7 linked regions of the Xenopus tropicalis genome follow. The protein of the gene in region 3 interacts with the protein of the main gene of each other region in a biochemical or structural test. Links are inferred from orthologs where the notes say so. Each region holds a gene or a part of one and is shown on either strand. Other genes may lie near its edges. The genes, in order: grb2, epn1, eps15, sgip1, fcho1, tfap2a and ap1g1.

The links.
Region 1: the proteins of eps15 (region 3) and grb2 form a complex in vitro, tested with the Homo sapiens proteins (2 studies listed by BioGRID, with this or other methods). The link is inferred for Xenopus tropicalis from reciprocal best matches to the Homo sapiens genes EPS15 and GRB2.
Region 2: the proteins of eps15 (region 3) and epn1 form a complex in vitro, tested with the Homo sapiens proteins (4 studies listed by BioGRID and IntAct, with this or other methods). The link is inferred for Xenopus tropicalis from reciprocal best matches to the Homo sapiens genes EPS15 and EPN1.
Region 4: the proteins of eps15 (region 3) and sgip1 form a complex in vitro, tested with the Homo sapiens proteins (2 studies listed by BioGRID, with this or other methods). The link is inferred for Xenopus tropicalis from reciprocal best matches to the Homo sapiens genes EPS15 and SGIP1.
Region 5: the proteins of eps15 (region 3) and fcho1 form a complex in vitro, tested with the Homo sapiens proteins (2 studies listed by BioGRID). The link is inferred for Xenopus tropicalis from reciprocal best matches to the Homo sapiens genes EPS15 and FCHO1.
Region 6: the proteins of eps15 (region 3) and tfap2a form a complex in vitro, tested with the Homo sapiens proteins (2 studies listed by BioGRID). The link is inferred for Xenopus tropicalis from reciprocal best matches to the Homo sapiens genes EPS15 and TFAP2A.
Region 7: the proteins of eps15 (region 3) and ap1g1 form a complex in vitro, tested with the Homo sapiens proteins (2 studies listed by BioGRID). The link is inferred for Xenopus tropicalis from reciprocal best matches to the Homo sapiens genes EPS15 and AP1G1.

The regions. Positions count from the first base shown.
Region 1 is NC_030686.2:44,468,157-44,472,426, forward strand, and holds the start of grb2 (growth factor receptor-bound protein 2), read right to left. Parts: upstream 2,801-4,270; 5' UTR 2,781-2,800; intron 2,756-2,780; exon of another isoform or gene 2,733-2,755; intron 1-2,732. UniProt on the Homo sapiens protein: Non-enzymatic adapter protein that plays a pivotal role in precisely regulated signaling cascades from cell surface receptors to cellular responses, including signaling transduction and gene expression.
Region 2 is NC_030683.2:104,131,802-104,135,301, forward strand, and holds part of epn1 (epsin-1), read left to right. Parts: intron 1-2,703; coding exon 2,704-2,790; intron 2,791-3,048; coding exon of another isoform or gene 3,049-3,051; coding exon 3,052-3,349; intron 3,350-3,500. UniProt on the Homo sapiens protein: Binds to membranes enriched in phosphatidylinositol 4,5-bisphosphate (PtdIns(4,5)P2). Modifies membrane curvature and facilitates the formation of clathrin-coated invaginations. Regulates receptor-mediated endocytosis.
Region 3 is NC_030680.2:96,281,152-96,284,651, forward strand, and holds part of eps15 (epidermal growth factor receptor substrate 15), read right to left. Parts: intron 3,355-3,500; coding exon 3,246-3,354; intron 2,528-3,245; coding exon 2,492-2,527; intron 1,272-2,491; coding exon 955-1,271; intron 311-954; coding exon 241-310; intron 1-240. UniProt on the Homo sapiens protein: Involved in cell growth regulation. May be involved in the regulation of mitogenic signals and control of cell proliferation. Involved in the internalization of ligand-inducible receptors of the receptor tyrosine kinase (RTK) type, in particular EGFR.
Region 4 is NC_030680.2:83,925,345-83,929,577, reverse strand, and holds the start of sgip1 (SH3-containing GRB2-like protein 3-interacting protein 1), read left to right. Parts: upstream 1-1,433; 5' UTR 1,434-1,900; coding exon 1,901-1,910; intron 1,911-4,233.
Region 5 is NC_030677.2:111,226,859-111,230,358, reverse strand, and holds part of fcho1 (F-BAR domain only protein 1), read right to left. Parts: intron 3,492-3,500; coding exon 3,310-3,491; intron 2,462-3,309; coding exon 2,403-2,461; intron 1-2,402. UniProt on the Homo sapiens protein: Functions in an early step of clathrin-mediated endocytosis. Has both a membrane binding/bending activity and the ability to recruit proteins essential to the formation of functional clathrin-coated pits.
Region 6 is NC_030682.2:90,356,221-90,359,720, forward strand, and holds part of tfap2a (transcription factor AP-2-alpha), read right to left. Parts: intron 3,487-3,500; exon of another isoform or gene 3,285-3,486; coding exon of another isoform or gene 3,192-3,284; intron 2,958-3,191; coding exon 2,523-2,957; intron 2-2,522; coding exon 1-1.
Region 7 is NC_030680.2:59,329,871-59,334,015, reverse strand, and holds the start of ap1g1 (AP-1 complex subunit gamma-1), read right to left. Parts: upstream 2,801-4,145; 5' UTR 2,465-2,800; coding exon 2,450-2,464; intron 1-2,449. UniProt on the Homo sapiens protein: Subunit of clathrin-associated adaptor protein complex 1 that plays a role in protein sorting in the late-Golgi/trans-Golgi network (TGN) and/or endosomes.

The sequences.
Region 1 (4,270 bases), on a different chromosome or scaffold from region 3:
TCATAATCAGATACATAACAAGCCATGGCCAGGTAGTGAAGCAATCAGCTTTGCTTGCTCTCCAGGCTGCGAGTAGCTACCAATCCCCACCCCTCAGCACAGGCCCGGGTAGCCAAAACAAAACATGTACATCCACATGAAAGGGAAAGTAACTGCGTAATTGCCTGGTTTACACAAGCACTTTAGCTGGATGCTGCTGCCTGACCGTGTGGGGTTAAGTGCTTTATATAAATAAGCCACACTGCACATTCAATATATTCTCACATACATCTAATCCACAAATAAAGTGTTTTAAAGGGCCCGTTTCAACAGCACAACTAGATGTTATGGGGCCCAAAGCCGATTAGCTACCCTTTATCAGCAGATTCCAACCCAATATGATAGGTTCCGAGCCATGTATTTGATCGCTGAGCATGCAGTGATCAGGCCTATATATTCCAAATGCAATCAAGCCTGCACCTCTAGAGTCCATAACAGGTGAATAGTGTTATTCCAAGAAATTTATAACCCTGATTGTGGCGTGTATGGGAGTGCAAGACAGCATAAAAGATAACAATGGGTTAACCACATACTCATAAGAGGAAATGCAAATAACCAAGACTATAGCTGTGTTACAATATAACGAAGTGAACAAAGTACAAATTCATCAAGGAAGAACTAGTATGAAGAAGGAAACAAATAATGGCCACCAGGTGGCGATGTTGCCACCGAAACCTATGGGGGGAAAAGGCTCGCACGAACTAAGTTCAATGGCAGCCCCCATCCTGCTAAATAAAGCAGAGGGAAAAAGATGTTCCGGGTACATAATTAAGCCAGTAAACAGATAATAAATATAAATAATAAATGCCGCATGTTGCAGGCATCTGTCAGAAACCAGCAGGGATGCGCCGAATCCAGTATTTGGCCAAGATTCAGCCGAATCCACAGTCCTGGCTGAACGGAATCCGAAAAATCACCAGACTTTTTGTCATGCAAACACGGAAGTTAAACATTTTTTGCCACGCGTTGTGTGCAATGCTAATTAGGAATCGGTCAAATGCTTTATATAGGATTTGGGGGTTCGCCAGATTCGGTGCATCCCTAGAAACCAGCATGTGAATTATACCCCAATCTCACCACACTGCCCCAGATTTGATTTCCTACAGTAAGTAATTAACACAAGATAAATATATACATACACTATAAATATACATGCAGCTGCGCCTCTAGCCCAGATTTTCTTTCTCCCACTTGCAACAGCAGGCGTCCCCTCAGCCCTCACATACAGTCTATATCCCCCCCCCCCCCCAGGTTTGGTATATATCCTCCAATCCCCCTTCTGCTCCTATAGCCCAGCAGGTCTGTATATCCTACTCAGAGTATAGGTCTTACACCCAGTGGCAATTCCCATTCACTTCTACTGGGGGTGAATTATAACATCTAAATGAGGGCAATTTGTCCCCCCAGAACAGACTCTATTCTTCCTTTCCCACCTTGCCCTTAGTTGCCAAGTCTGTGTCCCCCCCTGCCCCTTGTCTGGAAGCCAGTATAATATTTGCCCTATTTTACCCATCATCATCCTCCTCTGACAGTTCACTTCTCCCCTTGCTTCACCCTCATTAATCTCAATTTCCAGTCTATTCAGCTACTCAACTGTCCCTGTTCTGCCCCTGGTTTCACCCCCCCAGCACATCTGCTCTCTCTCGCTGTGTTACCCCCACTATGGTATCCCATCAGCAGTCTCTTTTCCTTTGTCACAGCTGTCACACACTGTTCCCAAGACACAATGCTCACAGTCAGCTATCACTCAGCAAAGGTTAATTAAGCCAATGAGGAGTCTGGTAGGGATGCTAAAAGCCAATCATACTGTGTGGGCCCATCTGACCCCACCTGGCCCTATCCACATGCTAATGACTGTGACTGCATATATCATGGCTGCACAGAAACCAGTGTAGCCCGCAGCACCAGAGAGTGAGATGTCAGTCCCGGCAAACTATCATTTCTCCCATTACACAGGTCCCCTCCTAAGGCTTGTGGCCCTATAAATGAATGTACAAGTAGGAGGGCCCCAAGCTGTGTGATTTCCCTACCCACTTCCCTTCTGAGGAATCCTGATATAGATCTCCCCCCCATCAGTTCCCCTTGCATTCAGCCCATCTCAGCACTTCCCTCAGTCTCCCCAATTCCCCCCACTTCCCCTTTCTGCCTCTCTCCCCCCAGCAGTTCCCTTACCCACAGCCACTGGCTGCTCCCGACCCCTACCCACAGCCACTGGCTGCTCCCGACCCCTACCCACAGCCACTGGCTGCTCCCGACCCCTACCCACAGCCACTGGCTGCTCCCGACCCCTACCCACAGCCACTGGCTGCTCCCGACCCCTACCCACAGCAACTGGCTGCTCCCGACCCCTACCCACAGCCACTGGCTGCTCCCGACCCCTACCCACAGCCACTGGCTGCTCCCGACCCCTACCCACAGCCACTGGCTGCTCCCGACCCCTACCCACAGCCACTGGCTGCTCCCGACCCATACCCACAGCAACTGGCTGCTCCCGACCCCACACCCGGCAGCCCCTCATCAGCCTCCCCAACTCCCTCACCCACTCTCCTTCCCAACAACATCGCTATCGCTCTGCGCACCCCTTCAACGGGCGCCACTCCTGCTGCTGCTGCTGTTGTACTACAGCTCCCACTATCCCCCCTCCTCCCTGGCAGCCCATGGGACTTTCAACTCAACAACAGCCGGACACCCACCCACCGCTACATCGACTTCTACGACACGGCTGACACTCATCTCCCCACCTCTCGATAGAGCTTTTCAGAACCCTCACCGAATTCCGCGGAGCCGCTTCTCCTGTCTCTCTCCCTGGCCGCTTCCGCTCCGCCCCGGGGCAGATCCTCCCGCGATACTTCCGGGGCTGCGTGAGTCCCTGCGAACGGCGCATGACGTCATATGAGACGTGAAACGCAACGCACTTGAGGGGCGGGGCAGCCCATGTTTTGTCAATACGGCTTGAGCTTGGGACAATGACTGCGGTTATTTGGTTATCTATAGTCATGTGTCCAAATGGTCACCAAATATTCACAACTCTCCTCTTGGCTGTACACATCACTAATAAACCTGTAACTCTCCCCTTGGCTGTACACATCACTAATAAACCTGTAACTCTCCCCTTGGCTGTACACATCACTAATAAACCTGTAACTCTCCCCTTGGCTGTACACATCACTAATAAACCTGTAACTCTCCCCTTGGCTGTACACATCACTAATAAACCTGTAACTCTCCCCTTGGCTGTACACATCACTAATAAACCTGTAACTCTCCCCTTGGCTGTACACAGGAATTATGGTATTTTTCTCCAGAAAAGGTGGCAAGCCTACACAGAACCCTATCATGGTGACTTCTCCCTGTGTGTTTAATGGTGTCCTGTGTGAAACCCATCTATATCTTCCCACATTCCAGGGCCAGTTTAAGGTAGGGTTGCCACCTGTCCGGTTTTGATCCAGACAACCTGGTTTTGGGAAAGTCAAACCCTCCTGCATTGATTCAGTGATCGGGCAATTGTCATGACCCCGCCTCTCCCCCCACCCACTTTCTCAGCTGGCAGAGGTGGCAACCCTAGTTTATGGGTATGGCAGGGGCAGCAGAAGATGTTTTTGGTTGGGGGCCAGGAGAGGCCCCACTTGTGCCGCCCACCCCTCTGCCTCTGTTTAGCCACAACTTCCAAAACCAGGGGGGGTGAGGGTAATTCTCTCCCCCAGTTCCAACGCCTATGGTGAGGGCATTTGCGCCATTGGTCAGTTAAGACCCCCTCACAGCAGGGGGTGTAGATGTAAAATAACACATACTACATTGAGGAGCAACTGATAGTTGTCTTACTGGAAAAAAAAAATACAGCGACCCTTTAATACAGTTCCTCATGTTGTGGTGACCCCCCAACCATAAAATTATTCCTAAGAACATCAGAAATATGTGTTTTTCAATGGTCTTATGCGACCCCTGTAAAAGGGTTGTTTGACCCCCGAAGGGGTCCCGACCCACAGGTTGAGATACAGCACTAACGGGAGCTACTAACCCTCCTGCCACTTGGGTGTCACCATGTCATTATCACTCAGTTCATCTTCCCCCCCCCCCCCCCCTTCACAATAGGAATGTATCATCTTGCAGTGCACCTTCCATTGCTTCAAAATAACATGGTAGAGCACTAAGGGGCGTTACTAGCACTCCTGCACAGACCCAATGCACCCTATCTTATCCTTTACTGTGCCTGAACTGGTGTGGCATTACA
Region 2 (3,500 bases), on a different chromosome or scaffold from region 3:
AGCAACTCTCCAGTTTGGAATTTCAGCAGCTATCTGGTTGCTAGGGTCCAATTTAACCTAGTAATTAGGAAGTGGCTTTAAAAAGGGAGACTGGAATATGACTAGAGGAGGACCTAAATAGAAAGATACGTACTACGATAAAATTGTAGCCTCCCAGAGCAATAGTTTTTTTGGCTGCCGGGGTCCGTGATCTCCATTTGAAATCTGCAAAAAGTCAGAATGGGACGGCAAATAATTCAAAAACTGTAAAAATAAAATTAAATGAATAGACGAAACAAAGGGAAAAACTTTACAGCACTCCTGTATGGCATCCAATTCCTAAATAGAGTGTCCATAGCATATAGCTACCAATAGTCCCAGGTTAAGTTAAATAGAACCAGAGTCCTCCCAGATAGTAAACTTCTCACAAATCCTGCGTGTCATTCCCTCTAATCTCCCGATCACAAACAATTTATTGTGCAGTCTGTACCTAAGGCACTCCCCTGCTCTCGGCTAAGTACTAACTCTCCTGGCAGAGGGTGCCTTATATAAAAATTCTCCGGATTCCTTTCCGTGCTGATTTTGATTTGGATCTCTCATGAAACGTCTCCTCCCACGGCGTCTGTCTTGCGCTGCAGCTCCAGAGGTCATGTGACACGGCTACGGGTCCTGTCCAACTACACATGGGACCAATTGAAAAATTGAGGACCAATTGAAAAGTTGTAAGAATTGGCCATTCTGTAACATACTAAACGTTAACCTGACGGTGACCCACCCCTTTAATGTACGGCGGTGTGTTCTTTTAGAAAAGATTTTATACACACAGATAAAAACCAGAATCCACAGTTTCTAACCTGTCTTTATAATGATGTTTCCTCTCCCATAACAATGCAGTCAGCAGCATCACCTGATCACTTGTTGATTTTTGTTATATTTACTAATAATGCTGAAATTATGCTTTCAAATCTGATTTCTTGATACTAAATATGGCTAAAGGTAAGTATAAAAAGTGCTCTCCCACTCCTCCTGTAATTCCATTTCTAGCAAACGTGCAGGTAAGCAAGCTTTGTTAGAGGCTTTGTCAGACATTTAATAATAAAGTTTCCCCCCCCAAACTCCTGGTGTTACACATCTATTCTGAGCCTCGGGGAATCTATATGTGCTCTGTAGGGTGCATGAAGGTTTTCTTTATAGCGATCATGTCAGTCAGTGACCCTTATGAGAACCATCCTATATTGTCTCTGTTACTATTCCTGAAACAGCTTTTAGATGTGACTCTCTAGTCCAAGCTGGATGCAGTAGATTGCAGCTTCATTATGAGTGTCTTTAGTTTTTCTGCCTTGCATGCGTCACAGATTGGTCATCTGTCATCTGAACCCCCCCCCCCCACTTACTAACACAAAGCAGTTGGCACTAAACTTCCAAAATGGCAAGCCAAACCTCACATAGACATGTATAAATAATACATACAAATAGATAAGTGCTGTACCCGCTGTACAGTATGTACCAAAAGCATGATTCTTTCAGTGTGTGTAAATTGCCTTGTGTTGATTTTGGGGTAACAATTTCCTTTGATTGCAAAAAATCCTCATTTTCATATTTACTTGCACCTAACATATATATATATATATATATATGTATTATTAACCATCTTCCTCTTATTGTCTCCATGAAAACTCACCATCATTTTCACTGTAGAACTGCACATTTCCCCTGACAGGGTCGGAGTATTCCCCAATTTTCAGTCCCCCTATCCTAAATCTGAGCAGCAATTCTAGCTTATGGAATACAAACGTGTTAAACTGTACATGCTTGAAAGTGTATGCTTCTTTGTACATTTATTTTCCCCAAACATACAAATAATTCCAGTACATATCCTGGGAGCCCTTCTCTTTAACAGCTGTTTAAGCTGTTGAAATTAAGAGCAGGGCCATACTTAAAGAACTAAACCATAAACATTTAATATGGCTATGCCATGTTTTGTATACCGAACTTAATGCACCAACCTAAAAGTTCAGCATGTCTGTAGCAGGAATGATTCAGTCCTTCAAAGTTGTCACAGGAGCTCCCCCATCTTGAATTCTGTTAGAAGTGTCAGTGACACATACATGCTCAGTGTGGTCTGGGCAGCTGTTAAGAAGCCAAGCTTAGGGGTTATTCAAATTATCAAGCAAAAAACTAATGCTAATTGCACTGTTTTTTTAAGCTGCCATGTACTTATAATCTAAATTATTTACTCATCAGCCTTATATTGTGACATTTCTATTCTATATATACAGTATATTGTGAGTGGGTCCCTAAGCTCAGTAAGTGACAGCAGCACAGAGCATGTGCAGTGAATCAGCAGAACAGATGATGGGGGGCTACTGGGGCATCTTTGGGGGCACAGATCTTTCCTGCTAAAGGGCTGTGGTTGCCTTGGGCTGGTACAGGAACCCAAAACGTGTACAATGTACAGTATTTCTGCCCTATATCTTTGGTTAAGCTTTACTTCTCCTTTAAAACCCTTTCTTTCCCTGGGTTATGTAGGAAAACTTATTTGCTATGATTGCTGCTTTAAGAAAACATTCTAGACCATGGCACGCGTCTCCTATTTTACCATTACATCCGCAAGTCGTACATTATTTGTAACGCTTTCACTTGAGTCAAGAGTAAATGAAATCTCCCCAGTGCGCTGCTGAGACGGATAACAAGACATTATTTATTCATTTCTGTTTATATCAGGAGGAGAGGATCAGACGAGGAGATGACCTCCGGCTTCAAATGGCTATAGAGGAGAGCAAAAAAGAGGCACCTTCCAAGCAGGAAGAGGTGATCTGTGACTTTTTATCTGTATAGTGAGGATGTGGTTGATGATGCCAATTCATAGCGTAATTAAATGGCAATGATCCCATGTAATTTCAGCCTCGGAGTGGCTGAACATCAGTTGTCTAGCATTTACAGTACCAAATTGTGGAATATTGCATCTATATTTATTTCCCACTGCATTATGCATTTATAAATTTAATTTAATGCGCTTTGGTTCCTTTTATATTCTGTGAAAAGCTTATTTTATATTTGTTACTCCAGCAGTCATCACTAATGGATTTAGCTGATGTCTTCAGCCCCCCTGCACCAGTTGCCGCTTCTGCAGGCCCATGGGGTGCCTCAGCTGCTCCCCCTGCAGATCCATGGGCAGGTGGAGTTGCCACGTCTACACTACCAGCAGCGTCTGACCCATGGGGAGGCCCTCCAGTGGCTACAGGTGCAAGCTCTGATCCATGGGGAACTGGTGCACAGATAAACTCCACTTCTGCTGACCCCTGGGGTGGAACACAAGCGGTTACCACTGCCGATGTCAAAGCTGTGTCTGATCCATGGAATCCAGGAGGTAGGTGGATTAAGGTTGTTACGTATGGATGTTGGCCACATATTGATGTATCTTTTTTGTGTCTGCCTACTAGGGAGACTCCTAAAAAAACAGATCCAATATAAATATCACAAGCGTGTATATAAATGTTCCTAAACCCCAATGTCCAAGA
Region 3 (3,500 bases):
AAGAGTACACCATAAAAATCATGACAGATAGTTTAACTATCTCACTCATGCCAAAAATATGATGTAAATAATGCTATGGACAGTACAAAGGAAAATAAAATTATATACATTTTGCAGGACAAAAGACAAATACAATTTGCTCATGCAGACATAGCAGAGATGCTGCACTGTGTCCATCATGTGTCCATAATTCAATTCCCAGCATTCTCTAAAGGTAAAGAAAAAGAAAGGCTGACTCACCTGACTCACTAACAGCTGAGACTACAGTTCCACCTGGAGCAAATGGATCATTATTTTTTAAAGTGTCTTCCTTGAGAAAAGATAAAATATGCTTATTAATTGTAAATAAAAACAGAACATTATTGTTTAAAAAAATAAAAAAAGCGTATGTTTTAATCATGACACATTGGGGTGGGAAGGTTTGGCTCTATAAACAAATCTAATGCATATGACTCAGCCGTGCTACATAGATTCCAGTGTTTCCATGATGCTTCTCCTAGATAAAAATGGATTAATGTGGATTTGAATTTGCCTTCCCATTAGTGAGAGGTTGAGTAAAGTTCAGTGCACAGTTCAGTTTTTATGCTTTTAGGGTTATCATTATGCCAGTTTGCATTATCTGTTTGCAATAAAATATGTGCTCACATCAGCTGGTATTTCTAAAGTAGCTAGAGTGTTAAAACTAACACTGAGAAGAAAACATGTTGCTGCAGAAAGAGTACAACCTTACATATGGTACAGTGCTTCCACTTTATCAATGATAAAGTAATAAAAGCTAATCCGCCCCACTAATATTCAACTGAATATTTATACAATAACAGCTATGATTCATATTCCAAAAATGCTCTGAGTAATTATTCAACAACAGTCTAAGCTTAACATCATCTAGAGGGCCATAAGCAGGTCTTCCATTTTATATCACATGTGCGGGACACACAGTATACAGATACGTACAGAAGAAAAAGTGCTTTCTGTGGCTAAGAAAGGATCAACTTTGGCAGATGTGAAAGGATCTTGTTCAGAGGACTTGAAAGGATCAGCGCTGGAGGGCTGGAAAGGATCAGCTTTTGAAGATGTTAAAGACTCTGCTTTGGAGGACACAAATGGATCTGCATTCGACGATGTGAAAGAATCCGCTTTGGACTTGGAGAAAAGATCTTCTTTAGAAGAATCCACTTTAGAAGATGCAAAAGGATCTGCAGAAGCCTGTTTGAAAAATACATCAGAGGCGAACGGATCGGAATCTTTAAAAGGATCCCCACCAAATGGATCTGTCAGGAACAGAGAAAAAAAGATTTTTTTTTAAAAAAAAGTCTTGTTTTACATGTGGCAATTCAAACAGAAGCTTTTTTTTTTTTTTTATTTATTAAAGTTTATATACATGGATAAGTGTTGCCATATATTGCTAGTCTAGGCAGAGATATCTCCTTAGACTTCACAAACATTCTAACACTACTAAATGTTTATACTTCCTTTTAAGCTTTTAAGGGATACAGTCAGGGTTACCATCAAAATGTTGGCTAGTGAAAAGGTATTTTAGGTGACTTGTGCTACGACCCTCAAGAAAATTATTTCATATGCACCGTGTCATATTCAGAGACTTTCATAACGTACAGGCTTTTGGACAATAGGTTTATGTGCCCAGATTTAAAATAATATAGGAGTAATTTAAAACAAAACAGAACATAGTGTACAAAGTAGGAATGCAGAGACCTGCTTCTTTCCCCATAAATACTGACTACATGACTGCATTAGTCAGCATGGTATTGTTGAAGGGGGGATGGGCATGTATGTGTCCTCACCCAGCCCCCAACTGGTGCGACATTCAGACGTGCAAGTTAAGGAGCAGCAGTGGGCCTTGTTGCCTGTGCCCCCTATGGATAAGGCCCCTTAAGCAGGTGTTTTTAGGCCAACAGGAGCACCTTCGCTTTTCTCAAGCTGAGACAAAACTCAAGGCTCAGACCAGCAGAACCAACACTCCATGGTGCCTTACCCTAACACACTCTGCTTGGTGCACTCTCAGCTCTAGATTTTTAATCCAGAGTGCAGCATTCCCTGAGGCTTGAGTGCTTGTTAAGCATTTGCACCCCGGGAATCAGTAAACAACCCCTCATGTAAAACAACATATGGGGTTTATCTATATATAACTAGTGGATTGATATATCTCTGTAAATATAAGAACAACAATCAATAGTTATGCTAACTGAATGTGTGCGCTGTTAGGCAAGGGTTCAGCCCATCAGTGCACACAGAGCAGATTTCAGTACAGTACGCATCAAAATCTGCTCTCTGTGTACACATTGATTATGGGCTGATCCCATGTCGCACACACATGTATGTAGTGGAAGGCAGAGGATCAGCTTTTTACACTAGTGAAGGAAACAGTGCATGTGCCTCCATATATAAGACCACAATAACACAGGATTTCAGTTCATACATGCCAAAGCAGACATTTACATTAAAAAAAAAAAAAATTAAAAAGAAAATTTACCTATTTTCCCAAATGGATCATCTTTAAAAGGATCGCCTGGAATATAAATGAAATCATATGCAAATAAAACCATATGTAAGGTCCACATGCTTTTCAAACCTGCTTTAAAAGGGACAGACATTAAGAACTATGTTTTTTTTAACATAGCATACATAATTGTTTTCCAAATAAAAAGCAATTAAAATGCAATGTAGTGTTGCTTCAGAAACACTATGATAGTTTATACAAATAAGCTGTTTTGAAGCCATGGGGGCAGCCATTCATGGGATAAAATGCATATATAGCAGATAAGCTCTAAAGAATATAATGATGTTCTACAGAGCTTATCCGTTATCTGCTATTTAACCTCTGTCATTTAGCCGTACTTCAATTGCTTCCACTGCTATGCAGCATCTTGTTTATATAAACTATAGCAGTGTTTCTGAAGCAAACACACCAATTCAGGGCAACACCACATTACATTTTAATTACTTTAAAACACTTGTTACCATTCCTTTAAGTATGAGGATTCCCTTCCTGGTTTGTCAGCCTTAAGGAAGTTGCAGGCAATTCTTAAAATGACCACTTTTTCAAGCCTGTATCTATTCATCAGGCACCTACAAATAAAGTATTTCTTGGCAAGAAATGTCCTACAGTCAGTCTGTAGTCTTGTGAAGAGCCATTATGGCATTCAACTCTTGTTTATTTTTCTGTATAAGAAGTAAACCTGTGGTATTCTGAACACCTTCTCAATCAGACATTTTCTATGACTTACTGCCAACAAAAGGATCACTCTGAAAGAAATCCAATCCGGGATCTTGGACAGGAGCAGAAGGGGGAGCAACTGGATTCACGTCATAGGGATCAACCTGAAAACTGACCTCCTACAGAAAAAAACATTTCACATTAATTCAGTTCCACTTCAGGTTCAGCTGATTCATTAGAGAAACTCTACTACTGCATAAAAGGTAAGGACACTGCAGTGCAAATGTAGATCCTTTTTAATGTGCTTTTTTATATCCACTAAAGA
Region 4 (4,233 bases), about 12 Mb from region 3:
CCAACACATGGAACCTACCGTGGCCTTCCTGCAGTGCATCAAAACTTATAGACGCAGCCATGGCAACAGCACAAAGGGACCTTTGAAAACGATGTAGTTTTTAGTGTAAGATACCTGGTAGAGGTAACATTACAAAACTGCAAAGTGTTAATCAGTTTTGATGTCTTATAGCAGCCAATCAGAAAGTAAAAATTACTGGTCAAAATCAATTGAAAAGCAATCATCTGATTGGTTGGTATGGTGTATTGGAGTTGGTGAAAACTTTGTGGCTTTTATTTTATTACACTGTTTTGTTAATAACCCTTAAACATACTACTGAACCAATGTTTCCTCTAATTTCTTTTTGGCTATGTGTGGAACAATCTTCTTTTGTGCGCACTTGTGCACGTGAACCATGTGCACTTATTTAAAAAAATACTGGTGTGCGCATTTCAGAATAAGTACAAAATTGTGAATTTATACAAAATTCTGAGTGCACCACAAATTATTGTATGCGCCGGTTTAAAATTTTGTGTGCACGCGCACAAGCACACAGCTTAGTATACCAAACTAACAACTAGACGCATCCAAACCCCATAGCATCATACCAATATTTGTTATTATGCCTAATGCAGGGCAATATACCTTTTACAGGGAGGCACAGGCCTGTTCACTTATATATGAATTCACATTCTTGTGTAAATTACAAATAATAATGTATTATATGGCACTTTAAAACTTATTAAAATGAGTACATTGACCTGTATAAAAGCATGGCCTTTATATATCTATGGGACTCCCCAGTGACTTCTAATATACAATAGAGAATACATTGTGCCTGATATCAGTGACACACATTTAGTAGGGATGTTTTACATAAAGTTTTAGCATACTTGTCTTGACTTTTTTTTAATGTTTTTTACATTGTTAGCCCCTTTTGCCTAGCTTACAAATTAACCAGCCAATATTTGACCAAAAAGTGTTATTTTATGCATTTATTTTCTGTTTTATATATTGTTTTTTACTTGGATCCACTGGGGCCTGGGATAAAATTTTCTAGTATGGATTTTCTACAGTTCATAAATATGTATTATCAAATGTTTTATTGAACACAAAATGACTTAGTGAGGTTTTGTGTAGACAACAGATACAAGCTGAACAGAACAGTGCTTTTAACAACTGTATTGTAATAAAGAGGATTGAACTTAATAGTATGATGGCAGGTCCTTCAAGACAAGGACCTTCCGTCTGTGTAAACACGTTTTTGAGGTAATAGTGTATTTTCTATTTATTACATGTTTTCCAGGCACGTTTATGTGAACAGAGCCGACTATACTAATAGTACTATATATTGTAGAATAAGAAAAATAATTTCTGGGATCTAATATGTTGATGTCCGAACTGCATCACGTGGGAGCGCGCAAGACGGCAGAAATCCAGTGGATGTGAAACGACATGTAACGCCAGGTTAGCGCAAGAGGATTAGGTGGAGGGGAAGTGCGTCACTGGCTGCCTGGGGGTAGGAGTGAGGGGGCAGGAGAGCACAAGATAACGGTGGCTCTTCGGGTGTATTGTGTCAGGAGATGAGAAGTGCGCTCCACGTGACTCGGCCGAGGGCTGCAGGGATTGGCTGGCCTCCTGGCAGGCTGCGTGAGCCTCCCCACCTCCTTTTTTCTTCCCTCTGTATCTCAGCATGGTAATGTCTAGAGCTCAGCATCCTTATGGGATCCGCTAGGTGAGAGCTGCAGCCTGGCCTGTACCTTTAGCTGCAGCGGGGGGAAACTCGCATCTCTCCTGCCATTGAGATATCTGCTTACCACTCTCCGAATAGGGGGTCAACAGTGTGTGGAACTGGACTCTAGCATTTGGTGCATTTTGTTCACAGCCTTCCGTGGAGATAGAGGAATGATATTCTGCCACCATGATGGAAGGTAGGATCATTTTCTGCTCTGCAGTTTTTTTTTCCGCCGGCACCTATCCTTGGAGTGAAATTCCTCACGATGCCCTTTGTAACCAAATTCCATTCCGCGTCCATATTGCGAACTTGTGTATAATGCAGGGGATGGCATTTAGTTTTCCCCGGTGTCACCGTGACAGAGTGCTGCCTAATTACACTGCCTCAGTGCTAGCAACCATGATTCGTGTGGGTCCCTCCATCAGTTAAACTACAGCTCTTATCCTCACCCTATAATACAGAAAACTGCACATATGTAGGTACCACAATATGTCTCAGTGTAAGAGGTCAGTGAAATCCGTCAGGCCTAGAGGGCACTGTATAATTTGCCAAACAGCCTCAACCCACCGAAAAATAAATAAGAAAATCCTTAGCCATTTATTGGGGGGGGGGGGGGGTGTTCCCTGTGATTGTTTTAAGAAAATAATTTTTTAAGGAAAGGTTTAATCATTTCACTGGCCAGATGCTCTCTCTTCCTTGATTGATTCTATGAATAAATGACTTTGAATGGCAGGAATTAAAGGGGCTGGGTGTGTTTTGTTAGTAACCTCCCCCATTCCTCTGTATTCAGTCAGTGGCTAGTCTCATACCGGAATTGGCTCAAGCATTTAATGGTATTTTCCTCAATTGATATATTTTGGGTTCATTATTTAAGTAAAAAGTTTCAAATGATAAAGCGTTTAACTTTACCCTGCTAAAACGCAACTAGATTTAACCTTTACCAAAATGTCTGTGCTGTAAAGGCATTTACAAATGTTTTCCATTACTTAATGTTGAGTTATACCTAGGTTTGTATATTATTTTTCTCACAGCATTGATCAGTAGGTTGACCCTAATTAATCTTGTTTATTAGGCGGTTAAAAAATGCCTTGGCAACAAACTGATGTTGTCCAGATGTCCTCAATCACTTGTTACCTTGATAAACATTGCACTTAGGCTATTCCCATAGCAGCGCAATATCACTTAGTAAAGCCTCTTGACGTAGAAATGGGAAATATCAACCTGTGCTACTTCAAGCACCTGTGAGATGAACAAGTTTAGCTTTAGATTCAGTATAGGAATCATACAGTTTAGTATGATTTATCCCTATGTATTTAAGAGGCTGTCATACTAGAAAGCTGTGAACCCCACTTATTTCAGAGGCTATCAAACTAAAGAGCTGTATGAATTCTTAATAAATACAATAAATCTTTCAAATCATTGACTTGCTTTTCAAATATGTTAAAAGGTAACACTTTAAGTGTAGAATAAACAATTTTATATATACTGACCATACTACATTACTTATTTGAGTGTGAACTCTTATTTAGGGCTCCAGCTGGATGCCTGTGGGCCAGATATAGCCCTCCAAGCATGCCTAAGGTCTCTGTAGGCATATTTATTCAAATAACTTTTTTTAATAATTGCATTGCTGATCAAACTGGACCAAATGGTTGTGTTTGACATTTTTTTTATAAACTTGACACTTGCTTAATGATCTTACAGTTTTCTGCAAGCTAAGTTTGGACATTTGAAAATATGTACAAAAAAAGTAAACTGAGCTGAATGAGGACACATTAATTCCATTATTTCCAATGCTGACAGCCTGTGTTGTAATTTGTGGTCCCAATGGCATGCTCAATAGAAAACCTATTTTTTTGCCTGCTTCATCAAAAGTTCATCAAATGTCATAGACGCAGTTTGGCAATAAAATTGAATTCAAATATGTTTTGTCAATATTGCTAAGAAGAGAACTGTGCTATATTCAGAGTCTCTCTTAGTTAATAACATTTTACAAGTGTTTTTCAACTGACATTATTACCTTGAAGACTTTATCCAGGTTGAAGTAACATATTTACTGCAGGCTATGCTTTTAATATCTAGCAAAGTTGCCTATTTTGGAATGGATCGATAGTTAGGCCTGGTACATTCCTTACCTGCACTGAAACGTTGTTTCCAACTAAAGGTGGCCATACACCAAGTACATCTAAATTGGAATGATTGAATCATTTAGCTCCTTGGACCAGTATGTGGGCCATATCTATTACCTGCCTAATGCAGCCCTGACAGATGGGATTGTCCAGCCTTGCAAGTAAACATCTGACTAAGCTCAGGCCATCATTTTTACCCTGTGCATGGCCTGTTAAGTTGCCAGTTTATGAACAGTCTTATGATTGTTATTGTTATGGCCAAAAACTGTATAGACATATGATTATACAACCCTGCAAATGTCAATTGCTTTATGACCACTCCTGTGAGAAATGTCCATTTCTTATTTGGTTTTTTTTTCGTTAATTTCTATTTTTGATTAATATACATGA
Region 5 (3,500 bases), on a different chromosome or scaffold from region 3:
AAAGTCTATATAAATCCTGTGCTTTCTTCTGTAGTTCTGACTATGTTTTGCTCAGAACCCACGTATGTGTCTAATAAACCTTACCTAATTACCTCAAATGACTTTCGGTATCTTAAATTTCATAACAGAAGCAATGCAACACACCTGTGTCACAAACATTATGGTGCCCTGAAATGAGGGGGGCTATGTATAAAAAATGTTGTAATTTATACATGGTGAAACTGAAATGTATGCAAATATTTTTAAATTACAAAAAGAGAGGGGGATTGATCAATGCACATTCCCTGGTCCCAGTGCACGGGAGTTCCAGCCTTTGAAAAATATGACCAGAGGTAAATAGATAGGACCACCATACAGTGTTTACCTTGATGTGTATGGTGGCTTACCAATCTTATGATCATAATTTTGTAACTAAAAACCCCTGTTTTTTGTCAATATATGCACTAGCATAGATAATTTACTTATGAAACAGGGGACCAGGGAATGTGCATTGATCAATCCCCCTCTCTTTTTGTATGCTTGTAGTTGGCCAGATCAGTCGCTCCCACAACCCCTTTCTGTGTATTTTTAAATTACAGTCTGAAGTGCACTTTAATCGCATCTGAATTGTTTGATTTAAAATTTTACACTAAGGGGCAGAGAGGTAAGTCAAAGAAAAATGCGTCTTTGTCCCAAACATTACGAAGAACAATGTAGATAAGAACTATTTTATATTGAAATGTTAGTTTTGCCAGCTACAGTTACACAAAAGTAGGCATAAGCCATCTTGCATCCATGTGATTGGAAAAGCTCACAGACAAATATCTGCATATGCCACATGTACACCAGAAGTGATATCTATGAGAAAGCAAAGAATTATCTAAAGACCCACTTAAAGGAACAGTAACACCAAAAAATGAAAGAGCTTTAAAGTAATAAAAATACAATGCACTGTTGCCCTGTACTGGTAAAACTGGTGTGTTTGCAACAGTAACACTACTATAATTTATATAATAAGCTGCTGTGTAGCCACAGGGGCAGCCATTCAAGCTGGAAAAAAGGCACAGGTTACATAGCAGATAACAGATAAGTTCTGTAGAATACAATAGTGTTTTATCTGTTATCTGCCATGTGCCTGTGCCTTTTCTCCTTTGAATGGCTGCCTCCATGGCTACATAGCAGCTTATTTATATAAATTATAGTAGACTCTCTGAAGTAAACACACAACTTTTACCAGTACAAGGCAGCAGCACATTATATTTTAGTTACTTTTATACACTTTCATTTTTTGGTGTTACTGTTCCTTTAAAGTTTATGTGCTTTGATTGATTGATTTCAATTAAAGGAATACTGTCATAGGAAAACATTTTTTTTTTTTTTAAAACGCATCAGTTAATAGAGCTTCTCCAGCAGAATCCTGCATTGAAATCGTTTTTTCAAAAACACAGTTTTTAATATTTAATTTTGAAGTTTCACATGGGGCTAGCCATATTCTTCATTTCCCAGTGTGCCACAGCCATGTGACCTGTGCTCTGATAAAATTCAGTCACACTTTACTCCTGAGCTGCAAGTTGGAATGATATCACCCCCCCTCCCAGCAGTCGATCAGCAGAACAATAATAGCACTCAATCATAAGAAATCCAGGGTCAACTTATGGCATCTCCAGTTACATGGGAATAGGAGAAACAATAGGTTACCTGAAAGCAGTTCTAATGTGTAGCGGTGGTTCCTTCTGAAAGCTGAGACTCAGGCACAATGCACTGAGATGGCCGCCTACATACCAATATTACCATAAAAATCGTGACAGTATCCCTTTAAACCAGTGATCCCCAACCAGTGGCTCGGGGGCAACATGTTGCTCACCAAACCCTTGGATGTTGCTCCCCGTGGCTTCAAAGCAGGTGCCTATTTTTTAATTTCTGGTAAGGAGGCAAGATTTAGTTGCATAAAAAACAAATATAATGCCGAACAGAGCCTCCTGTAAGCTGCCAGTCCACATAGGGACTATTAAGTAGCCAATTACAGCGCTTATTGGCACCCCCAGGAACCTTTTTCTTTCTTGTGTTGCTCCACAACACTTTTTCCATTTAAATGTGGCTGACGGGTTGAAAAGGTTGGGGATCCCTGCTTTAAACCATCAAACTGATCAATAGGTCACCTTTGTTGCAGGGACATACAACATCTGTGATCACATCTAGGCTCCATGACCTAAGGAGTCCCAATGAGCAGAAAAAATAATTCAAAACTCACATGCAGAAGAGTAGGGACATGGGTAGATAGGTGAGAAGAAACTGGTTTAAGTGAACTGTAGGTAGCCTGTGCTTGGCTTGCACTTGGGGTCTAGTTACAATACTGGTTAAATAAGAATTTTACATTGTTGCATACTGTACAATGCATAAGAGAGTATGTGAGAGAGTGTTACCATCATGTTCATTCCCTGCAGGCTCATGAGGGATCTGCCAGTGTAATCTCCGTTCAGCACTAATGAAAGAGTGAAATTTAATTAAGAAGCTGTTCTGTAGAGGTTTGCTGCATATTATATATGACATTATTTCAATGTATCCATACATAAATATTTTATCTATACATTTAAAATCCATCAATGTAACACTCTGGCAGCACAGCATATAACCGTATAGAACAGGAGTTCCCAAATAGCATATTGGGATCTACCAGCAGATCTTGTACAATAGATCACAACAACCCGCACTGTCTGCATACAGATGCCTTAAATCAGGTAAGGAGCAATGGATTGAAAAATAGTTATTCATTGTTTATTTAAAAAATGTTATTGTTATTTAAAAAAAGAACACATTTTCTGTTGGCAAAAAGAAATGAAGTGACATTTGCTAAGGTAATATAAAACGTCAGGTGGTAACACTAAAAATAGACCACTGCATAATTTAAGCGTGGGCACCCCTGGTCTAGTGGTATGCAGTTATTACTGAATGCACTGAATTCTCTGAAAGTAAATACTATACAGTAGCTGCCAGATACTGGTTTGCATTGCAGCAAGGCCAGATTTTAGAATACAGACCAATGATGAGAAAATTATATAGATTATTAGATTTAGAGGTCCCTTCAGGTCCATCACTGCATAGTATCAAAGAGGATGATATTTTCCTAACCATCATAATAGGCTGGGCCATGCAGTGACTATAAACTATAATGTTTTTGTTATATTATCCAAAGAATTAACCTGTGGGCTGGGGCCAAAAAATGTTGAGCACATATAAATTACAAACACAGTATGCTTTATTTTGCTCTCTGTGAGGAAATCGTGATAATATATACATATGTAAAAACATTCAGTGCAGTTCTCTCCTCACCAGCGAGCAGGAGGGTCAGATTGCAAGTTAGAAAAAGGTTCATCCAGAGGCAACAAAATCTGCACATCACACAAAAAAGCAATGTTCTGTCTATAGTCCAAGCAGAGGTCTGTCGAGGATGGACCACACTTCCAAGTTGATGTGAGGTACAAAGGAGCTGCAGAGATGCCTGATTTTAATACCTGAGAATA
Region 6 (3,500 bases), on a different chromosome or scaffold from region 3:
GCTGCAAGAAAAAAGAAAAAAATATATATTATTACACTTTCATTAGAGTAGATTCGCTTACTGCTGTCAGTAGAGACAAAGATCTTGCCGTTCTAGATTTAATGCAAAACTGGATACAGTATCCCCAACGAAAAATTATATTAAGCTCCCTTTATACATGTATTGATATTTTCCTACATTTTTCGATTGGTTACTTGAACAGTATAAATAATAAGATTATAATACTCGCTGCGTCTCAAATACTGTTTATAAACGATAAGAGATTAAGGGTAAGTGCGACATGAATGAAAGGGGAGCCATAAAATATATGCAAGTATAATTGTGTGATGAGAGGGGTAAATCATTACTTATTGTAGGTCCCCAAACACTTCTGCCAGTGACAGTGGCAAGCAACATTAAACCGAAATAGAAAGGGAAATTTGTTTTAGTTCACCACAACACATTGAATATTTAGATGATGGTTTCCTAAGATTAAGTCTGAAATGACGTGGTTAAATAAAAATAGGATGCTGCAGCTTGGCAGGGTAAAATAACATGCATCCCTTTGTTTACAGCAAAAAAAAATTGGTCCTGATTCACTTTGGGGATATTACAGCTCTCTGGCAGTGTGATTTAAAGGCACAGTGCTTCGAAAAGGCTTTGTCCAACAATAATACAGATTGTAGCATTTTTTTTATCCCTTCCTGGATTTATGCTCCTGTTAATTGTGCCTGATCTCAATGATTCCGGGTGGATGGTACTAAGTTAGTCTATTACAGATTTTATTATACTCCATGCTCTCATTTGTAACTTGCCTAAAGTGCTCCTGCATTTAAGTATAATTAAATTGAGAAATGTTCAGCATTGACTTCTACAGTTCTTGTGTTTTAAGTATATGGGGAAATATGATCCCTTTATGCTTGCGAACTAAGCCCATAAAGTAAATGTACTGTGGTATATAAAACTTTGATTTCGGTGGTTTCTAGAAACGTTCACTTCAACACATCATCAGATCCACATTTAAGTACCCCATGGTGCTATTTTATCATTAACTAGTTTCCTAGATAGCCCAGACTGTTACACCCCCATCCCTACTCGCTTTGATACAGATTTAAACATCTTCAATGTGAACTCTGTTCTGCCATGTATCTACCGGGATCCTTTTCTATGTTCTGACATTTGTGGTTTCAAATGCTCAATATTTCTGTTTACACTGAACAGTCGTTTTATATTCTACAAAAATGAAGCCTAGACTGGCACTGTCCTTTGGCAATAAAATTAGTGAAACTGACACGCCTAGTGCATTGGGTCTATCTAGATAGGCATTCGTGTATACTATGTAATTGGGTAATCGCTACAAATTAACATTAGCCAATTTACCGTTTTGCAAATACATTAATGGTGAATAACTATGTTTATACATTTATGTTTCATAATGTATTTTGTTCTTATTTAATTCTTATTTAAATGATGTATACATTTAGGCCAGGGTGCCCACTTTAATAAATTTAGGGTTAATATTCGATTAATTATACAAAGTGATACATCATTTCTAATGAATCAACATTAATGGTTTTAAAGGCTTAAAATAACATCACGTGTGTATAGGGCCTGTTTAAATTTTTTTTTTTCATTCTTAAAGTGTGAATTTCTAATGGTTAAAACTGTCAAATCGCAACACCATGTAGCTAAACACATTTCATTTTATTACCTATTAATATGTTTAGACTGATATATGGATTCATTAACCCCAATGATCTGTTTAAATGAATAATGCAGAATATTTCAAGGTTAAAATGGAATTGTGGAATGTAGCTTTATTGATCTGTTTTCAGTATGTCTGGTGTTGGATATGGGGATTTGGGGGGGGGGGGTGTTGCTGAAGCAAACTATCACTGTCATGTTTAATTGTGAAACATTTTAATTGCATCCATTGATAACCGAATTACCTCCAAATAATTTATTGTTCAATCTTCCCATGATACCTAATCTAATATTAGTTGGGGAGGTGACTTTACTAAAGGCTGGTAACTCACTAACGATTCATCAGATAAACACATTGGTCCTTCTTTGTAAAAAATGAGGGAATTGGCAGAATAAAAATAGATCTAATAAATCAGGGGTTCGTCAGTCAGAAAAGCCACATGCAAGTACGCATTCAGGTCGCATTCGACTGTTCCTGCATACATTTCCTTAATTATAAGGGACATATTATTTATTACACAACACATCTATCCTGCCTGTGGCCTTAGGTTTTCAGTTGGTATAATTATTTTGGCAGATGCCCTTTATTCAACATACATGCTCTTGGAAAGCTGCAATTAAATTTATACGCTATAATGCGAATATGACTAGGTCTGGGGTTTCCCTATGGTCGCTTCATCCCACATAGATGCCCAATCTGTGGCCTTATCGCTCTAACTGAACTACAACTCCCCTAAATGTGTATCACAACTGGTGGGCGGCAGACTGGAGACCCGGCAGTTAAAGAAATACACTTGGCTTTAGTGTTAGATGGAGTGGATTGAAGGGATTATGCTTACCGATACGTCTTCAATTCCGTGAGGTATGGAGTGTAAAGGCAGGTCCCCCAGTCCTGAGCTGAGTCCATGAGGCCCATGTAGTAAATCTTCGTGCCTTCTGTAATCCCTCCGTGGGTCCAGGCCAGAGAGCTGGTGCGGTATCCCCCGATGTGTGTGTAACAGACTAGTCTCTTGGCTCTGTCTCTGTCCCGGCCAGCCTGGGTGCTGTGGTTGTGGCTGGGTATGGAGGGCATTAAGACTATAGGGGTCATTGACGTGGGAGTAAGGATCTTGAGACTGGGGGTATATTGGCTGGTAGGGCGGAGGGAAGTAGGGGGGCTGGAAGTCAGCATTGGGAGTGTGAGAGAGTGGGGGGGCACTGGCATAGGGAGACTGTCCCACCGTGCCCAGTTGGGGTAACCGAGCAGTCCCATTGCTGGTGCCATCATGGCGATCCTACAAAAAAGACAAAAGCAAATTGTATTAAAGCGATACTCTTCAACTTAGCAGCAAGACCTTTAAACTCCTTTCTGTACTGGCAGGAACTTGTTTAAGCTTTCCTTGCAGATACCAGTCTAAAGACCAGCATTTTGTCAGCAGAAAAGTATGTTTATTATACAGGCCCACAACACACGAATGTGCTGAAAGATGCCTATAAATACATTAAGGCAATGGTTAGCACAGACTCACATTTCTGTTGGAATCAGTGGCCATGTTCTTAGATAAAAGTGCACGGCCCTCTTGCATGTCTACAGAATAAAAAGCCTCAGCCGCACAAACCATAATGGTTTGTTATGATCTGAGAGACAAGTCTGTCTTTTATTAGAAATGCCTGTTCCCTTTGCATTTTGCTGCAAAGAACCCTTTGTAACAATGTGCTCAGGCTGAACAAAAACATCATGGATTTATAGGAAGTACATCGAAAGCAATCAGCGACTGCACTACACGTTTAAATAAAAAACCAACCTCAGGATAGAAAATATACACACAATATTTTTC
Region 7 (4,145 bases), about 37 Mb from region 3:
CACAGCTTTGTCAATGCTATACATATATGTTCGATCTACAAATAAAACTTGTTTGTGGTGCGTAAAACCAAGATTTTATTTTTCTCTTATAACCAAGTCTGGGCTCTTCGCATATGTCATGCAGCCTCCATATCAACCTTACTGCTCAGGAAATGTAACCAGCAAAATAGTCCTCTCTTACTGGACCTTTATGCTACTGTCATAAACCTGCTATTTATCAATAGATATTTCTATAATTTAATTTGAGCCCTCATTTATTAGCTAATGCAGCCTAGAATGTATTTGGTTTGTGAGCAAACTCAGTGCCTCATATGGTCCAAAAGGAGGAACTCTGGTACTTAAACTTACAATACTGTATCCTGGGATGATACACGGAAAAAAATAAATGTATTAAAAAAAGCTTTATTTACAGGAAAACTTAAATTTTTTTTTTTATAATAGAGATCTGCAATGTTCTGGGGTATTGTTATTCAGTTTTTAAAAAGCAAATATTCCACTTTATTTGGAATGTGCAGGTCAGTAGCAGTGCTCTAAATTATAGTTGAATGTACATGCCAGGACTAACTTGCACTTGCTCAGTAAGGGCAAAAGGAGAACAAAACTAAAAAGGAGAACAACAAAAGGCGCTTGCGCATAAACAATGAAAATGACTTCTAAAATGTATATGTAAATAAAACTGTGAAGCATGCACTATGGAGGTCTCTAATGCACATTTCTGGAAGCAGCAGGCAACTGTACAAAAAATACATGCACCTATAACTAGCAGGCAGTATAAATCAGCTGCTTTTACTAGGAAACCAATTTTATTGAGTCAGCAAAGTGATTATTTAAATTAAAAAAAAAAAGTGTTGACACTTTGAAGATATTTTAATTTGTATCAGCGGTTTCCTAGGAGAAAATCATGTTACTAGAAAGGGAATGTAATTTTGTCCTCTTTGTTAACCAACATTCTACAAGACATCATAATGTAATACACAACATGTATTTCAACTAACCTACGTGTTGCTACTGTATTCAAAATGTAATTATCTATGAAAGTTACAAAATTATCTTACACAGTAATTACTTAGGTACCGTGTTCCTCTAAAGGTTAGGTAGTCCGGCAAAATATGTTACTTGGAAATAACAAAGCACATGTACAGCATGCATACTGTCATATTTAAAGCCTATAATAAATGAATGAGATACGGTGTGTAATACAGGTATGGGGCCCATTATCCAGAATGCTTGGGACCTGGGGGTTTTCTGGATAAGGAATCTTTCTGTAATTTGGATCATTATACTTTGTCTACTAAAAAATAATTTTTTTTTAGTAGAAAAAACTTTTTTTTTTTACCTTCAATAAGGATTATTATGTCTTGGTATCTGTATATGGTACTGTTTTATTATTACAGAGAAAAATGAAATCCTTTTTAAAAATGAATGGTTTCATTAAAATAGGGTTGATGGCCTTCATATAATCTGGAGCTGTTTGGGTTTCCTGATAATGGATCTCATACCTGTATTATGTGTCAACACTATATAGATCCTGTATGCTTTTATACTTTTCCATAGTGGATTACAGGCTCCTGACATTGCACACACACACACACACACGTATATAAAAGATGAGGGGAGTACTAAGATATAGGCATAAAGAATGAGGTGTACAGAAAAACTTGACATACATGGGCATAAAGATATGGTAAACAGACCCTTCAATTATTGGGTGGAACATGAGTGTAATGGCCGCCAATGAATGTTCCCTCTAATTCGTTCTTGGCTATGTGCTTAAAATAATTCTTTTGGGCGCACATTTTAACTGTGTAATCCACAATTTGTTGTGTGCACTGGCCTCAAAATTCACACACAAAGCTAACATTGCCCCAGCTGGTGTACAATATCAATGTAAGCCTATGAAAAATGTCACCTTCCCCAAGGGCTGTGGGGCCAATACATTTCCAGTTATTCCATGTATACCAACAGACGCAATACACACAGACTACATAAGAACTTATATATAAGCAGACAGAGTGACAGCAAATGAAACCTCAAGTGTCCCTTATAGTGGACAGAAATCACAACACATATGAATTAACCCACACAGACTTTTAGCTGTCACAACCCTATCTCACAAGAAGGCTATCCAGATGCACCTCAGAAAATCCCTAAATGCCCCTGCCATACATATAGTCACTTGTGCAACAAGTCTAATGCCAAAGTCTTTCACGGACACCCTTCCACCAGATCACTGAAGCTACATTAATATTTACTGACACAGACAACACACGCGTTATCAGGCTTTCGTTCTGTCAGTGTCCCTTCACCATTGCATACAGCCTCTGGTCAGTGATCTTCCACTTTCTTCCTCACGCCCCACTATTCACAAATTAAGTGTCACTGATGCCCTCAGAGAGATTCTAGTCACACTATTGCTGTCAGTCCCCTCCAACCTGTCACTAGCCTCCACCTTAATCACTGTCATTAGCCAAGGGTCTTTCCTCTCACCGCCCGGTACTGCTGCTCTCTCCACGGCTCCGGGACAAACCAAAATGGCGGCTGCTGGGCCGCAGCACCGCGGCTGTGCGGAAGGATCCCGTAGAGTCACCGGCTTCAAGACCAGCGGTCAACACTCCGGATCTTTATAAAAACGCCAAACGTGTTCCAAACGACAGCCTGTATACCGATCGGCTTCGGAACTCAAGAAGCCACCCAGGGCCGGAACTCTTTGCTCTACGCGGAGGGACACTGGCAAGTTGACAGGGCAGCCAGTGATGACGTCAACTCTGTGCCCCGTCACTACCAGACCCGGAAGGAAGAGAGGGCGGTGCCCCTATTGTCACGTGCCACCTGACCCAGGTAACTATGGGCGGGGATTATGTCAACCAGAGTTCTGAGCTTGTCATTGAGCTTCACTTCCTGTGATTGTGCCACAGCCTGTTATACTGACCTTTCTAGTTAGGGAGCATTAGCCAAAGCCGTTCCTGTAGCGCTGCCTAATTCTCACATGGAACTGGAGCCAGCCAGTCGCTCTGCTAGTTGCATATGTGGGCAGACGGGGAACCCTGGCGGCAGTATTATCGTATTTCCGTTCCTAATATATATTGGAAGTCCTTCCCAAGGGTTGGAGACCTGGCCAGTAAACTTGATTGCAAATAAAGCTAAAAACATAGAAAGGATGTAATTATTTTTTTTTTTACAACATTAGAGGTCCAACATTTTGCATTTCAACTAGTAGGGCTTATTTAATAATATCTGCACTAAAATGAATAAACTTTGGTTTTTCAATAGCCTACTAGTCTACTACCAATACAGATATGAAAGAAAATACATATTTTAATGCTGTAGATAACTTCCCTGGTGCAATTTAGTCCCTGCAGTATGCTTGAAAGTTTGTGAATCCTTTAAAATGTTCTATATTTTTATATAAATGTGACCTAAAACATCATCACCTTTTCAATCAAGTCCTAAAAGTAGAACTGAAAGTAGAAATGAAGCAAAAAGTATTATATTTGGTCATGTATTTATTGAAAAAAATGATCTAATAACATATCTGCGAGTGGCAAAAGCAAGCGAATCATGCTCTCAGTGTTTGGTGTGACCCTCTGGTGCAGCAATAACTGCAACTAAATGTTTGCGGTAACTGTTGATGAGTCCTGTTGACTTTTAGCCATGGAATTTTAGCCCCTTCCTCCATACAGAACAGCTTCAGCTCTTGGATGTTGGTGGGTTCCCTCACATAACAATTGGATTAAAGTCAGGACTTTGGCATTGCTTTTCCAGAATATTTACTTTATTCTCCTTTAACCATTCTTTGGTAGAACGACTATTTAGGATCATTGTCTTGCTGCATGACCCACTGTCTTCTGAGATCAGTTCACAGACAGATGTCTTGACATTTTCCTTTAACACTCTCTGCAATAGTTCAGAATTCAGTGTTCCATCAATGATGGCAAGCTGTCCAGGCCCAGATACAGTAAAACAGGTTCAAACCAGAACACCCCCACCATCATGTTTCACTGATGGAATAAGCTTCTAATGCTGGAATGCAGTGTTTTTTTCTCCAAATGTAAAATGCCAACAATTTCTTTTTTATCTTCATCCATCACCAAAACATTCTTCCAGTATTTTTCTAGTTTGTCCACATGATCTTTAGCAAACTGTAG